Linked DNA regions of Caenorhabditis elegans. The protein of the gene in region 1 interacts with the protein of each later gene in a pairwise test. Each region holds a gene or a part of one and is shown on either strand. Other genes may lie near its edges.

The links.
Region 2: the proteins of nhr-69 (region 1) and F14B6.6 interact in a two-hybrid assay, tested with the Caenorhabditis elegans proteins (one large-scale study listed by BioGRID).

Annotation. Positions count from the first base shown.
Region 1 is NC_003279.8:9,878,809-9,885,236, reverse strand, and holds nhr-69 (Nuclear hormone receptor family member nhr-69), read left to right. Parts: upstream 1-3,732; 5' UTR 3,733-3,743; coding exon 3,744-3,900; intron 3,901-4,005; coding exon 4,006-4,071; intron 4,072-4,120; coding exon 4,121-4,263; intron 4,264-4,479; coding exon 4,480-4,635; intron 4,636-4,829; coding exon 4,830-4,975; intron 4,976-5,030; coding exon 5,031-5,210; intron 5,211-5,257; coding exon 5,258-5,363; intron 5,364-5,408; coding exon 5,409-5,507; intron 5,508-5,778; coding exon 5,779-5,847; 3' UTR 5,848-6,054; downstream 6,055-6,428. Other genes in the region: inx-20 (Innexin), read right to left, coding at 6,118-6,254. UniProt on the Caenorhabditis elegans protein: Orphan nuclear receptor which, in cooperation with R-SMAD daf-8, modulates the Insulin/IGF-1-like signaling (IIS) pathway, perhaps by regulating expression of the potassium channel exp-2, which in turn modulates the secretion of insulin-like peptide daf-28.
Region 2 is NC_003279.8:12,229,986-12,236,413, reverse strand, and holds F14B6.6 (Hexosyltransferase), read right to left. Parts: upstream 3,703-6,428; coding exon 3,639-3,702; intron 3,591-3,638; coding exon 3,522-3,590; intron 2,960-3,521; coding exon 2,625-2,959; intron 2,469-2,624; coding exon 2,266-2,468; intron 1,827-2,265; coding exon 1,679-1,826; intron 1,539-1,678; coding exon 1,320-1,538; 3' UTR 1,221-1,319; downstream 1-1,220. Other genes in the region: F14B6.4 (Hexosyltransferase), read right to left, coding at 323-374; F14B6.3 (uncharacterized protein), read right to left, coding at 4,162-5,010, 5,528-5,723, 5,778-5,833.

The sequences.
Region 1 (6,428 bases):
ACAAATAATTGTAGTGTCAAAATTCAAATAGCTATTCATAATACTTTACAAAAGCTCCAATTTCTGAGAGAACAAAATCAAAATGAAGGTTAAAATCAGTCAAAATGCCACAGCGCCGCAAATAGTTGTTCCAATTTATAGCTGCATTTGATTCTGAAAATTGACATATTTTTGATGATGGGAGCGGCATGTTTCACTTAAAGTTTGCACAGTTGGGTGCCAACTGTTTACCAATTCTATCTCTCTCAAAAAACGTCTCCCCCATTTTCCATAATAATTGTGCTTCCATTCCATTCATAAAGATGTCATGAACTTGATAAACGGGGAGACTGTGTACGTGTGTCTGTATTAGCTTTTTCCTCTTTTCATTCCCCGTTTTTCCTTCTGACTCATATTTATATAATGGGTTATTATAAGATTCAATTCGTAAGAATTCTGAATTGATATGAAAGTAAAATATTGTCTGGAGACGGTTCTGGAAATTTTTGGAACGAAACCATGACACATTTCTGATCAAAAGTTCAGATTAAGATATTATACGAAAATTGGCATCATTTCTCGACGCGAAGAAAAAGTTTAAAAAAATATGTGTATTGAAGGAAAATCTGTGGAAATTTGGGAAAAGTTGCAAAAAACAGAAATAAAATCTACAGTACTCGGCAATTGCCGACCAGCAATTTTACGAAATGAGCAAATATTTTTATTGAAATTCAGTAAATAAAATATAGAAACTATTTGCTTTATGTGAAAATTACTGAATTTATTTTATTTGTAATAATTTAAAAATGCTCAAAAATTGTATGAAAGTTGAACACTGGAGAAATTGCCAGGCACCCCTGCTACAGTACTCTAAACATTGCTCTAATCTCTCAACTTGCTCTTAACATTGCCCACACCTCTGTGCAAAAACTTTCGCTTCGCTCCGAGACCTTTTTTGTAAAAAATTCTGGTTTCTCGCAACTGTGTGATATGTTGCGATAAATTGCAATGTCGGTTTTTTAGTAATAGTTTTCAAATTTAATTTTTTATTCTGTTTTTCGATTTTCGAAAATTTACATATTTCAAAAAATTAAAATGTTCAATTTTTGAAATTTCTCCAATTCAAATTTGTTCAAAATTGTTTCACAGCTTATTCCTGCAATTTCAGCAAGATCCCAAAAAATTTTTGCGAGTAGTATTCTTATTCAAAATCATAAATTAAATGCCAACTCAATTTTTGAATGCTCGAAAGCTCTCAAGTTCTCTTTGGCTCAATCGATCTATGAGCGATAACGGGACCTCCGCTCTCCTTCCTCAAGGTTGTTGTAAACCAGATGAGATCTTTGCAAGGTATCTGTCAAGAGTATCAAGACGCAGACAGATACACACACGAACGGACTTCTTGTTTTCGTTCATTTCTTTCTAACTATTTTCTTACCTACCCTTCTATTTCACAATTTTTATTACACAAAAATTTGAAAAAAATAGACTTCCCATGCCGGGAATCGAACCCGGGCCGCGTGGGTGAAAACCACGAATCCTAACCACTAGACCACATGGGAGCGGCGACATTCGCTTTCATTCTTGCCGTTAAAAGTCAAATACTTTGCTTAGTGATTAAAAAAGACAAGACTACAAAGTATCCTGTAACCGATAAAAAATAATCGATACTTATCATGTTATCAATTATTCCGTTCCATTTAAGATGTCACAGATGATCACTGATCGTATTGTTTTCCGTATGATCTATGAAACATTAAAACTTAGCAACTGTACGTTTTTCTCAATTCCGCCTCTTCCCTTAAAAATAATAAATCAGGTGATTTTTAATGTATTTTGAAATTTGTGTGTCGCATGTTTGTTTTCGTTGTCACTCTCACTTTACGTCTGAAAAGGAATTTTAATCGATTTTTCGAAGATCAAATTGTCAACCGTTTTCATTTTTGGCTTCAGTGGTAGGCAGGCATGTCGTCAGGACAGGCGATCGTGCCTTGCATACCTGCCGCCTATTTTCTGCATTCTGACGGGAAGCGCGGTGTTTCGTGCGATTTTCAAACAATGTTTGCGATTTTTGAGCGAAAGATACGGTGCCGGGTCTTGACACGACAAAAAAAATGATAAAAATTAACAGAGAAACTGAGAAAATACACGAGTGAAAAACACAATCTCATGGGAAATTTATAAAAATAAGAATTTAACAAAAGTTTGTCGTGCCGAGACCGGCTACCGTATTTTCGGCGCAATAATACCCGACAGTTCATAAGCCGGGTTTTTCAGAATGGGAGTCAAAAAAGGGTTACTGTAGCAGTAGTGTCCAATACATTCGCTTGTAAAGTACGGTACAAGGTGACCATCGGAAAGAACGGAAAATGTGAGAAGCTATTAAAATTACAATAAATCACATTTTTGAGATATCTGTTGTTTTCCATAACTCTTCATATTCATATTATTTCAAGTAAAAATCAGTTTGTCAAAATCAAAAAACAAACATCAAAAAACAAAAACTATAAAGATTCATTTTTTTGATAGTTTTTGACATTAACTACGTTGATTTTAACCGAATCTATCTAAATAAGTCAACCAGGCGAGTTTTAATGTTAAATTCAAAAAATTTAGCAAAAATGCTCGAAAAATTCAGCTGAAAATTGAAAAATCCTATTCTCCTCGAGAGACTGCGTAAATCCATCGCGACCAGCTCTTCCATTTCTAGACATGAGTTCGGAAGCCCGGGATTTGTAAAACCTGTAAATGAACCAAATCATTCTCAACCCCTCCCGTTCGAACTTCGAATGAGCTGCGTTTTCTTAAACTGAAATTCCAGAAATTACAGTCGTCTTTCAATATTGTATTCCCGATCTCTGCAAGACCCTTATCAGTCCTTCTATAAATTTCTCATTTTCTCTACCCACTCTCTCATTTTATAATTGTCTTTTCGTCGTTTCTTTCACATGTTTGTCACTTCTTTGCCCCCTTCTTCCCGCCATTCTTATCAAACACCCATCATACGCTCTCCAATACAATGTATTCTTTTTCTTCTTTTTCCAATCATTTTCCTGCTTCTTCATACTCTCTTTTTTTGTTCTTCACACACGTTTTAAGGATCATTGACAATTTGAAATCAGGAAGATCAGTTTTTATGAAGTCGGGTACAAAGAAGGATAGACTAAACTAGAATTTTGTTCTAGAAAAGTTTCAACTAGAAATTGAGATACTTTATTAAATGTTCAGATTTGAAAAATCTCTATGTTTTCCACCCTGGCATATACATATATACCGACATACGTGCCTACAGGCCAATGGCGCGCGGAATATGCCCACCAGTAATTCTACATGAGCCAGGGAGTTCTCATAGTATCTGAAATTTGAAAATGGAGGTAAAAAATTAGGCAAATTGCAACTTTCGAACAGTTTTTCGGACGAATAAAGGTTATTTTCCAATAAAACAAAAAATGCGATATATTCTGTCACCAAATTTAAATAAAAAATATCGAGAGAACATGCCACACTGGTTTGCTTTAGGTTTCCTATTCCTGCATTTCTGTAAATTAAATTATGTCTTTTCATGAGTAGGTGGTCTTCAAAGCTGCCTTGTAGGCACGTAGGTAGGCCTATCTAGGCTTAGATCTATGTAAGATCTAGTTTTTGGACATCTAATTTGAATTTAAACTTGCTCATCAAATATTCTATTCCGCTTCTTCCTACTTTTTATTATTGATTCATATTATCTAATAGAGCACAATTACATAAATATTTAGACAAAAAGTATGGTCGAAGAAATATGTCATATTTGCAACGACAAATCAACTGGTAAACACTACGGGGCAATCAGTTGTGATGGATGTAAAGGATTCTTTCGACGAAGTATTCGCAAACGATATCATTATCAATGCAGATTTGAACAAAATTGTGATGTTACCAAAAGTATGTTTATAGTTTTTAAAGTTTTTGGGCCGTTGGTTTCTGAAATTTCCAAAAGCAAGTCGGTCCTCCAATGTAATAAATATGTAATATTTCCTCTTATTTCAGATAAACGGAACGCATGTCGAGCATGTAGACTTCAAAAATGTGTAAAAGCGGGAATGAAGAGTAATGGTGAGATCATTCCAATACTTTTTTATAAAAATAGCCTGTACTATTTCAGCAATTCAAAATGAACGGGATGCAATTGGAAAACGGAAAAAGACTACGGGAGCTGAAAAAGAAGATTTGATAGATCAACTTGTTGCCGCAGAAACATTATGTCAGCAATTAAGGTCCAGTGTAATCAAGAATACATCTTCACTTGTAAGTTTGATTGGGATTAAACGCAGTGCTTCAAATTTCGTCAAGAGGGATTTCTTTCAATTTGGAAAGTTCTTGATTTTCTTTACTTAAGAAACACGGTTTAATTATGCCGGAATTTGTACCTGGTGGTTCTTTTTCCGCCCCCAGAAAAATCTGTTTTCTAGTTTCACCTCTTGATCTCAGTCAATAATCACATTGAATCCACGTGTTTTACAGGCACCATACGACTGTGGAAAAGTTAAATGGAATTATGAAGATGCGAGAGCTGCCACATTGGATGATATTGGAAAATCGATTCATCAACAATTGGTTCTTTTTATCGAATGGGCGAAGTCATTACCTCAATTCTCGTTTTTGGCTCAAGCAGATCAGGTATGATTTTTTTTCTATGAAAAATTTCAGAAAAATATTTGTTAGATGATTTTTTTTTTGATAAAATCAAAAACAACAGAGATATTATTTAGCTGTCATAGTAGCGAGTTTAATACTGAAAATACTGCAATTACTTGTTTCATACTTTCTTTTTTAAAAAATGACGACTTCTAGCAACAATTTCATAATTCCAGGCAGCTCTTCTCAAAGGCGGTGCCGCGTCAATAATTGTACTTGGAGTAGCATATCGATCGATTTGTCTGACAGTTGAAAATACAATTTGCCTTGCAAATGACACACTTCTTCCAAAAGAACATGCAACACAAGTGGGAGATATCAAGTGAGTATATTCTCATTTCATATCTGTATTCTCAGGTTTTGTACAGTCATTTCAGTTGTGTCGTCGGACGAATTATTGATGAAATTGTGAATCCAATGAGGAGGTTAAATATGGATTTAATTGAATATGTTGCACTGAAAGCTATTCTGTTTTTCAATCCAGTCGTCAGAGAAATCAACGATCAGAGTCCGGTGGAGAACGCCCGATATGCTTTTTTGAGGTCATTGCAGAGAAGGTTTATTTGACAATACTAGCTTCTATAACAAATGTAATATATTTCAGGTGTACTGACAAGGCACTTGAAAATATGGAAGACGAATCAATGGATTGCAGAAGTGGAAAGCTTTTGTTATTACTTCCATCACTTCAGGCTATTGCTCAACAATTGGTTAGTTACAATTGTTATTCAAATTAGTAATTTATGAATTTAAAGGTAGAAGATGTCCAACTTGCTCGTTTGTTCGGTCTCGTGAATGTCGATTCGTTAATGGAAGAACTTATTCTAAATGATATGAAACCTTCAGATCCACAGGTAATTTTTATTTTGAAAAGCAGAACAATGAAAGGAATATCTTAGTTATTGGCAACTTTCAAAACCTAAATCCTGAGCCCGGGGAATTTTATTTCAAACTCTTCCAAATGTGGAATATGCACAACAAATTTTGTTTAGTCTATCTAAGGAGAATAGGTCAATAAATATGCGGATTTCTTTTGTGCTTTGTGACTGTTAAGCTTATGGTGGTTTTGTGGAAGACCCTAATAAGTTCCAGAGACAATTTCAATCTCACAATTTTTGTTTTCAGATATTACAAACGAGTCTGGCATCACCGGTGAACTCGTCCGTTAAAGCAGAAGTTGAATTGGAAGAATAGTTTCCAATTTTCCAATATTTTATATTCAAGAGACCATAATCTCATCTTGCCTCCCTTCCTGCTCAAACCATCTAAATACTTCCAAACTTTGACTTCTAGAAATCGGGTCCCAACGGACACATTACTTACCTGCTCAAACCACCTCATTGTTTCCTTTTTCTATGTTGGTTTTATTATTATTTTAATAATTATTATTTCATGTCATGCAAATATTTGAAATTGTAACAACAATTAATTCGGTATCAGGAAAACAACAAAATATTGAAATTATTATACATTCGCAGCTGAAGCCATTCGGCTGCTTGGAGGTCGAAGGAATTGAGGAGCTGGTGTAGTTGGAGATTGATCCAAATGTAAATCTTCTCGACTCATGAGAGGAACCAAAACTGATGTTTTCCGTCGCAGACCTGAAAAGGGTGCATAGTATTCAGGCAAATGAGAACAAGTCTAAAATGTATTTATTTTTCATAAGCTATGAATGATACTAACACCTCTCGGAAATAGTTTCTCTTTGAAACTGACTCAAATTTTGCGAGACTCTTTTTTAACCGGATCATACTTTTTTAAACGGCAGAACAAAT
Region 2 (6,428 bases), 2.4 Mb from region 1:
TGGCGAGGATTCAAATATTTATTTTTCGAAAATCAAAATTTTGTATTCTGAAGTTTTTGGAGGGATTTCAATTTCCGGTATATCTGAAATTTTTCTTAAAAAATTTAGTGAGAATTCAGGTTTTGATATTTTTGCCATTTTGGCATTTTGGCGGGAACTCAAATACTTTTTTCTAAAAATTTTGGCAGAAAATCAAAAATTGGTATTCCTGAATTGGTATTCGTTTTGAAAAATTTTGGTGAGAAATTTTTTTGAGCAATTTTCAACACACCTACACAAAAATCTAGAGCTCTAAACTCCTTCTAAAAAAATTATAACTTACAAATAATCACAATAATAATCAAAACTGCCGCAACCCGATACCGATGACGCATTGGCAAATAAGAATAGGAAAATTAATTTTTTTTGGAGGGAAATCTCCATTTCGATGCACTTGATGATTTTTCAGTGAGAGAAAGAGAATAAGATCTGGATATTCGATAAAAATTCTGGATCCACTGGGCTTTGAGACGTTCTTTCGCGTGAAAGATTGGCATCTTTGCCAGTGTATACGCGGTGAAAATCGGCACGGGATGGATATCTATAGCTGAATTTTTTTTGAAAAAAAAAATCGATGAATATTCAGTAGCGCGTGGAATTTTGAAATTAGGATTTTTTGGTAAATTTGTTTAAACAAATGATATTTGAATTTCAGTCAATTTTTACTGAAAAATAAAAATTATTTTCCTACCAAATCTTTTTTAGAAAAATTAGTTCTTGTTTTATAGGCACGTAAATATATGCATTTTCTAAATATAAGCTTCCGGTCAAGCTAGCATATTTTATTTGGTATTTTCTGGTGTATTTGTCCATGTAGAACAGTTTTATTTAAAAAAAAAAGAAGCGCTTCATATGATTTGGCGTACTTTTGATTTTTTGAAAAAATCATTTTTTGGTTATTTTCTGCAATTTTTAAAATATGTTCCGGATTAGCTAGCGTACTTTGTTTGGTATTTTTTGATAAATCCGATAATGCTGAACAGTTTCATAAAATAAAAAAGAAGCACTCCTATGATTTTGCCGTAGTTTTAAATTTTTGGAAAAAAAATTTTTAATTAATATTTGCAATTTTTTTAAAATAACCTTCCGATCAAACTAGCATACTTTCGGTATTTTCTGGTAAGATTGACCATGCTGAACAGTTTTGTCCGTAATTGATGAATTTCTGAAGATGAAAAAATATTTGCCCGTAATTTATAAACATCTAATAAAAAAAAATGTAAATCGTGTTGAAATAAAATTATCGGCAATTTAAGAAACAGGAAAACTTTTTTTTAAAGTCAAGTGACATTTATTTCTTGTAATCGCAATTTTTCTTTAAACTGCTGTGAGCTCATAGTTTTGTAGTAAAGATCTTTGTACTCCGGATCATTTAGCGGGCTATGCCATGCAAAAACCAAATCAGTTCCCTTCTCTTGGCCCAAATTTATCCGGTGAAGCTGTACTCTGCTCACATCAGTATCATCAGCCAGAACTCCAGTGATGAGGGTATCTTCGATCTGAAAGTGACCAAAATTAATGAAGACAATATCAAGTTGTTTTTAGCTAGTTCAAATGAAAAAAAAAACCGGAATTAACAGAATCAGCCAACTTTTTTGTTGGCTATTATTTCAGATAGGTAGCTAATTTAGTTAATTACCTTGTGAAAATTTCTATGTTTTGAAGCTTCTAGTAATCGTAAAGCAGCACTTCTTGTCACCAAGTAGAATGGACCAGCAAGATAGAAAGCGTACCTCGTGCATCCAAACGAAATCAGAGAATTTCGTCTGAAATTGTACTTTAAAAATCTGGAAAAAAAAACTTTTTTTTGTTTTAAAACTGTTTAATTTGGTTTAGGTGAACTTGCCGACTCCCAGCTCCCTAAATTTCGGCTGACGATTAAAAAAATCGGGTAATTGAAGAATTTGATACCTATTTAAACACGTAGTGTCAGGATGTCCCATTACGGTTTGATCTACAAAAATGCGGGAATTTTTTCTCCAAAAAAAAGTGACGTCAGCACGTTCTTAATCATTCGAAATGTCTGCGTCTAAGTTCTCGCGATTTTCGTAGATCTACGTAGATCAAACCGACATGGGAAATTTTGACACCACGTGTGTAAAATCAATCAAGTCTTGCGTAGAGCTTCATGACTCTTGAGTACTTTAGAGAAATCAGCACCTACCATGTGGTGAGCTACCTGGCCAGGACCACCTTTGAATTTCAGAGTTCACCGGGCTCACCTACCGTTTGCAGCAGTTGGACACAATCGGCACTCCAGCTTCGGCAATTTTTCCATAAACACTTGCACTTGTCACGTTAATCATAGAATTTTCGTTTTTTATAGTCGATAAGAATAAATTCGGAAAGAAGAGAACATCTCCGTCAATTTTTCCAATTAGCTGGGCTGACGGGACTTTGGAGACCCCGAAGAGAAGCAGCGTCAGGGTCTGTAATCATTAGTTAGAGGTTATTGGGTTGCAGAAGATAGAGCCAGTCTATAGAGCCAGTCTTGAAAGTTCCAAAAATTTTACCGCGAAATTCAAGTTCTGATTCCAACTTTGATCTACTACGAGACTTGGTCAGTATCCCAGCTTTAAACTAACTTTAAACGATAATTTGGAATACCGATCTTCCATAGATGTCACTACAATGTCCCCAAACAATTTTGCTTCCGCCATCACAACTTCTTTAATTTTTCCGTCCATATTAGCACCTAATCCAATCAGAAACAAGTATTTTATCTCATTTTCCTGACTCATCCACGTATGCCTTATAACATTTCTTCTAGAAAAGTCGTCAGGCCTCGATAGGACGATCAATAAGATTTCAGGAGAACCGCTTATTTTTGGAATATGGATCCATTTGAATGTGCTCTGGACGTCGGAAAATGAAATTTGATAAGAATTTCCATAATCGGCGGTTGAGTTTATTTGGGAGCCTGGAATTTCAGAACCATTTTGCACAAGTGTTAATCAATTGCGTTTTTTAAACGAAAATGTGTAAAGAATGTTATTGGAACTTTTCTGAGAGAATTGGCAATTTTTTTCTTAGAAATTGAGATTTATTTCCGATTCATTTTGATTTCATTCTTTCATAAAAACCCAAGTTTAAATAAATTTTTTATGTTTGGTCCCAAATTTTCAAAAAAAAATTCAAAATTGTCTGAAACTTGCTCAACGTTTTTTACTATTAGTTAAACAATATGAGCAAGCAACAATATGCTGTGAATTTTCTGAAAATTTCTGAAAAATCGAAGAAGTTTCATAAATTTTAGTACAAAATCTGTTTCGGTAAAACTAAAGTTGTTCGAAATTTGATTTTTATTAGAAAATTATATTTTCAAAGTAAATTTTGTGTGCTTTTAAATGAAAACAAATAACTGATTGTGAATTTGGAATATATTATATTATTAAAAATATTGGATTTTTTAAAGAATTTTAAAGAAAATTTAAACTTATTGAATACATTTAAAATCTCAGAATGCTGGCAAAAAAACTCACTTTCATACCATTCCCTCTGTAGACACATTTGATCTTCTTCAATTAAAAATTCCATGGTTCTCTGAGAATCTTAACATTTCAGCACAATTTTCAAATGTAAGAAATTCAAAAACTCACAATATCGGTAAGCAAGCAGTGAAGCCAGAATGGCTACGGTAATTAAAATTTTACGAGCTTTCATTAGTGGGAATTTAGCAATCAGATTTGAAACCGAAAACTCATGGATTCAAACAATTCAACAATGAAAAAGGAAACAAATTCACGTGTAAAGAGAGTGGGAGAGTGAGAGAGATGCAGAGAAAGTGCAAATACGAAAGGGGCAATGATAAAGAAGAGAGCAACTGATAAGAAAGTATTTTTCTCTAACTATCTATTTTTCTAACCTGAAGTCCAATTTGGTTCCTACAGTGCGCCCAACTGCTATGGGACACCCCCTAATTTCTGTGGTTTTAGGCATTTCTGAATTTTTTGCGGATTAATAATACTAGAGTTGGGTTCATCATACTAAAAAAGTCTGTAACTGCACTTTTATCATGATACCTCAAATATTAAGGTTCGTTCAAAATAAAATAGATAATTTCAAATGTTTGGTCGTTAGCAGATTTATTATCACGTATTTAAGTTGAGCAAAAAAACATTTTCAGAGAGAAAAAAATTGTTCATCATCTTCCGAGTCTTCCTGCGTTACATCAAGCTCTAGTTCTTCCTCTTCTTTGCCATTGGAGTCATCATCCAATTCTTCATCTCTCCCAATTATATCAAAAGAATCTTCATCGGATTCTTCAATTATTTTGTCTTCCACTAACTTTTCCGCTTCATCACTCATTCTGGGCTCATTCTCGGACTCTTCTAAGTCTTCATGCTCATCTCTGAATTTTTGATAGATAACTAGGTCCTTAACTGGAGCTTCTTTTGAGCTCAGCGATTCTCGAGCTTCCGATTTTTTGAAAGTTTCTGAGAGCCTTGGCTCAATTGAGGACTCTCCTTCCTGATCTTCATCGTCCAAGTCCTCGTCAGAACTATCTTCTTCTTCACCTTCCACGTAAGACTCGTCGTCATCATCCTCCTCTTCATCACCTCTGATCTCCAACTCCCCAAATTTAATGAGATCCTTGTTGGTCCCTTCTGAACTCTCCTTCCGACCTGAGATCCCACTCGAGCTGAACATCTGCTTCAGCTTTTCCGCCGTCTCGTTCAACAGTGCACAGGCACCAGTCGAAATATCGTCGACAGTCAAGTTTTCATTTTGAAGGAAACTGTTCATATTCCCTAGGCATTCTTCGAGAACTCTCAAGAGCTGAGATCTTTCGTGGAAATCCTTGTGTCTTACAACTTCATCGACCAGTTGGTCAAAATTTTCAATACAATTGTTTAAGGCTTCTGAGAGATTCGGATTCGGTGAGTCTTGCCCAAGTTCAGAATCGGAGGTTTCACTTTCATAATCTGTTTCGTCTTCAGAATCGGTTTCCGGCTCATTATTCTCAGCAATCTGAAAAAAAACATTGTCTTGTTAAATTTAAACACAAAAATAAAAGTCGGAAGTTTAAGACGGAACCCACATTCGAGACCGCAGGCTACTACTAATTCGGCATATGCCTTTTTTACGTGGTTTCAGGCTGTCACGTGGTGTCAGAGTGTCTCATTTCGGCTTGATCTACCCAGATCTACAAAAATGCGGGAGAAAAGACGCAGAGTTCTCAACTGATATAGCTTGGTTAGGAATGCGCTGACGTCACATTTTTGGACAAAAAATTCCAGCATTTTTGTAGATCAAACCGTAATGGTACAGTCCAGCACTACGTGGGCTGTCGCATCGCTCCACTTCACACGAAAGGCGGGAAAATATTATTTGAAAATTTGTGACGTCACAGCGTATTTCGAATAAAAGCGTCGATTTGTGTGAAATTTGTATATAAATAATATCTACCATTCATATAAATGGTAGATCAAAGCTGTTATAAGCTTAAAATTTAGCAAAAATTTGCACAAAAATTGCACAAACTCACGTTTTCTCCATACATTCGATTCCATCTCATGCACTCCGAGCATCCCAAATGTGCAACAAAAAGCGGCTCACGTTCATTGGACTCATCAAAAACGAAGGGACGAATGATATTGTTACTATCAATCACAATTGTAATCTTCTTTTGAGTTTCATTACAGTATTTTGTGAAGAATCGTGGACTAGATGGGGCAATGGGTCTAAAAATTACAATTTTATAAAGAATTTGGGGAAAAAACGGGTTTAAAACTCACTTGAAATAGTCTTCGTATCCCAGAGATTTGAAGAAAGATTGGAGAAACGAGAGCATTGTTGAATAAAAGAATAACCGACTTCACTGGGTAAGAGCTAATTAACTAAAGAACTAAATAACCATCTTTTTTAGGCATCTGGAAAAAAACGTATTACAGTCTAGGTCTCTCGTTACCCAGTGCTATTTCGACGCGCCTGTTGATCAAGTGTAGTTTGCGCGTCTGAAAAATCTTGTACAGGCGATCTAGGAAAAAGGAGGTCATCTGGGACCCATGTAGTGCAATATGACGTCACTTGGGTTTCTGGGAAGAAGGGTTAAAGGGAACAATATAATTGAGAAGAGAACGTATGTATGTATTAAGGAAACACAAAATGCTGAGAATGCGTATTGCACAACATATTTGACGCTCAAAATATCTCGTAGCGAAAACTACAGTAATTGATTACTGTTGTGCTCGTGTCGATTTACGGGCTTGATCGATACAGTAGTCATTTAACGAGTTACTGTAGTTTTCGCTACGAGATATTTTGCGCTTCAAATATGTTGTGCAATACGCATTTTCAGAATTTGCTGTTCCCCTAACAACTCATGTAAATATTGAATTATAGCTTTTGCAGATTTGAGAGACAAGTTTGGAAAAATGCTTGGCTCA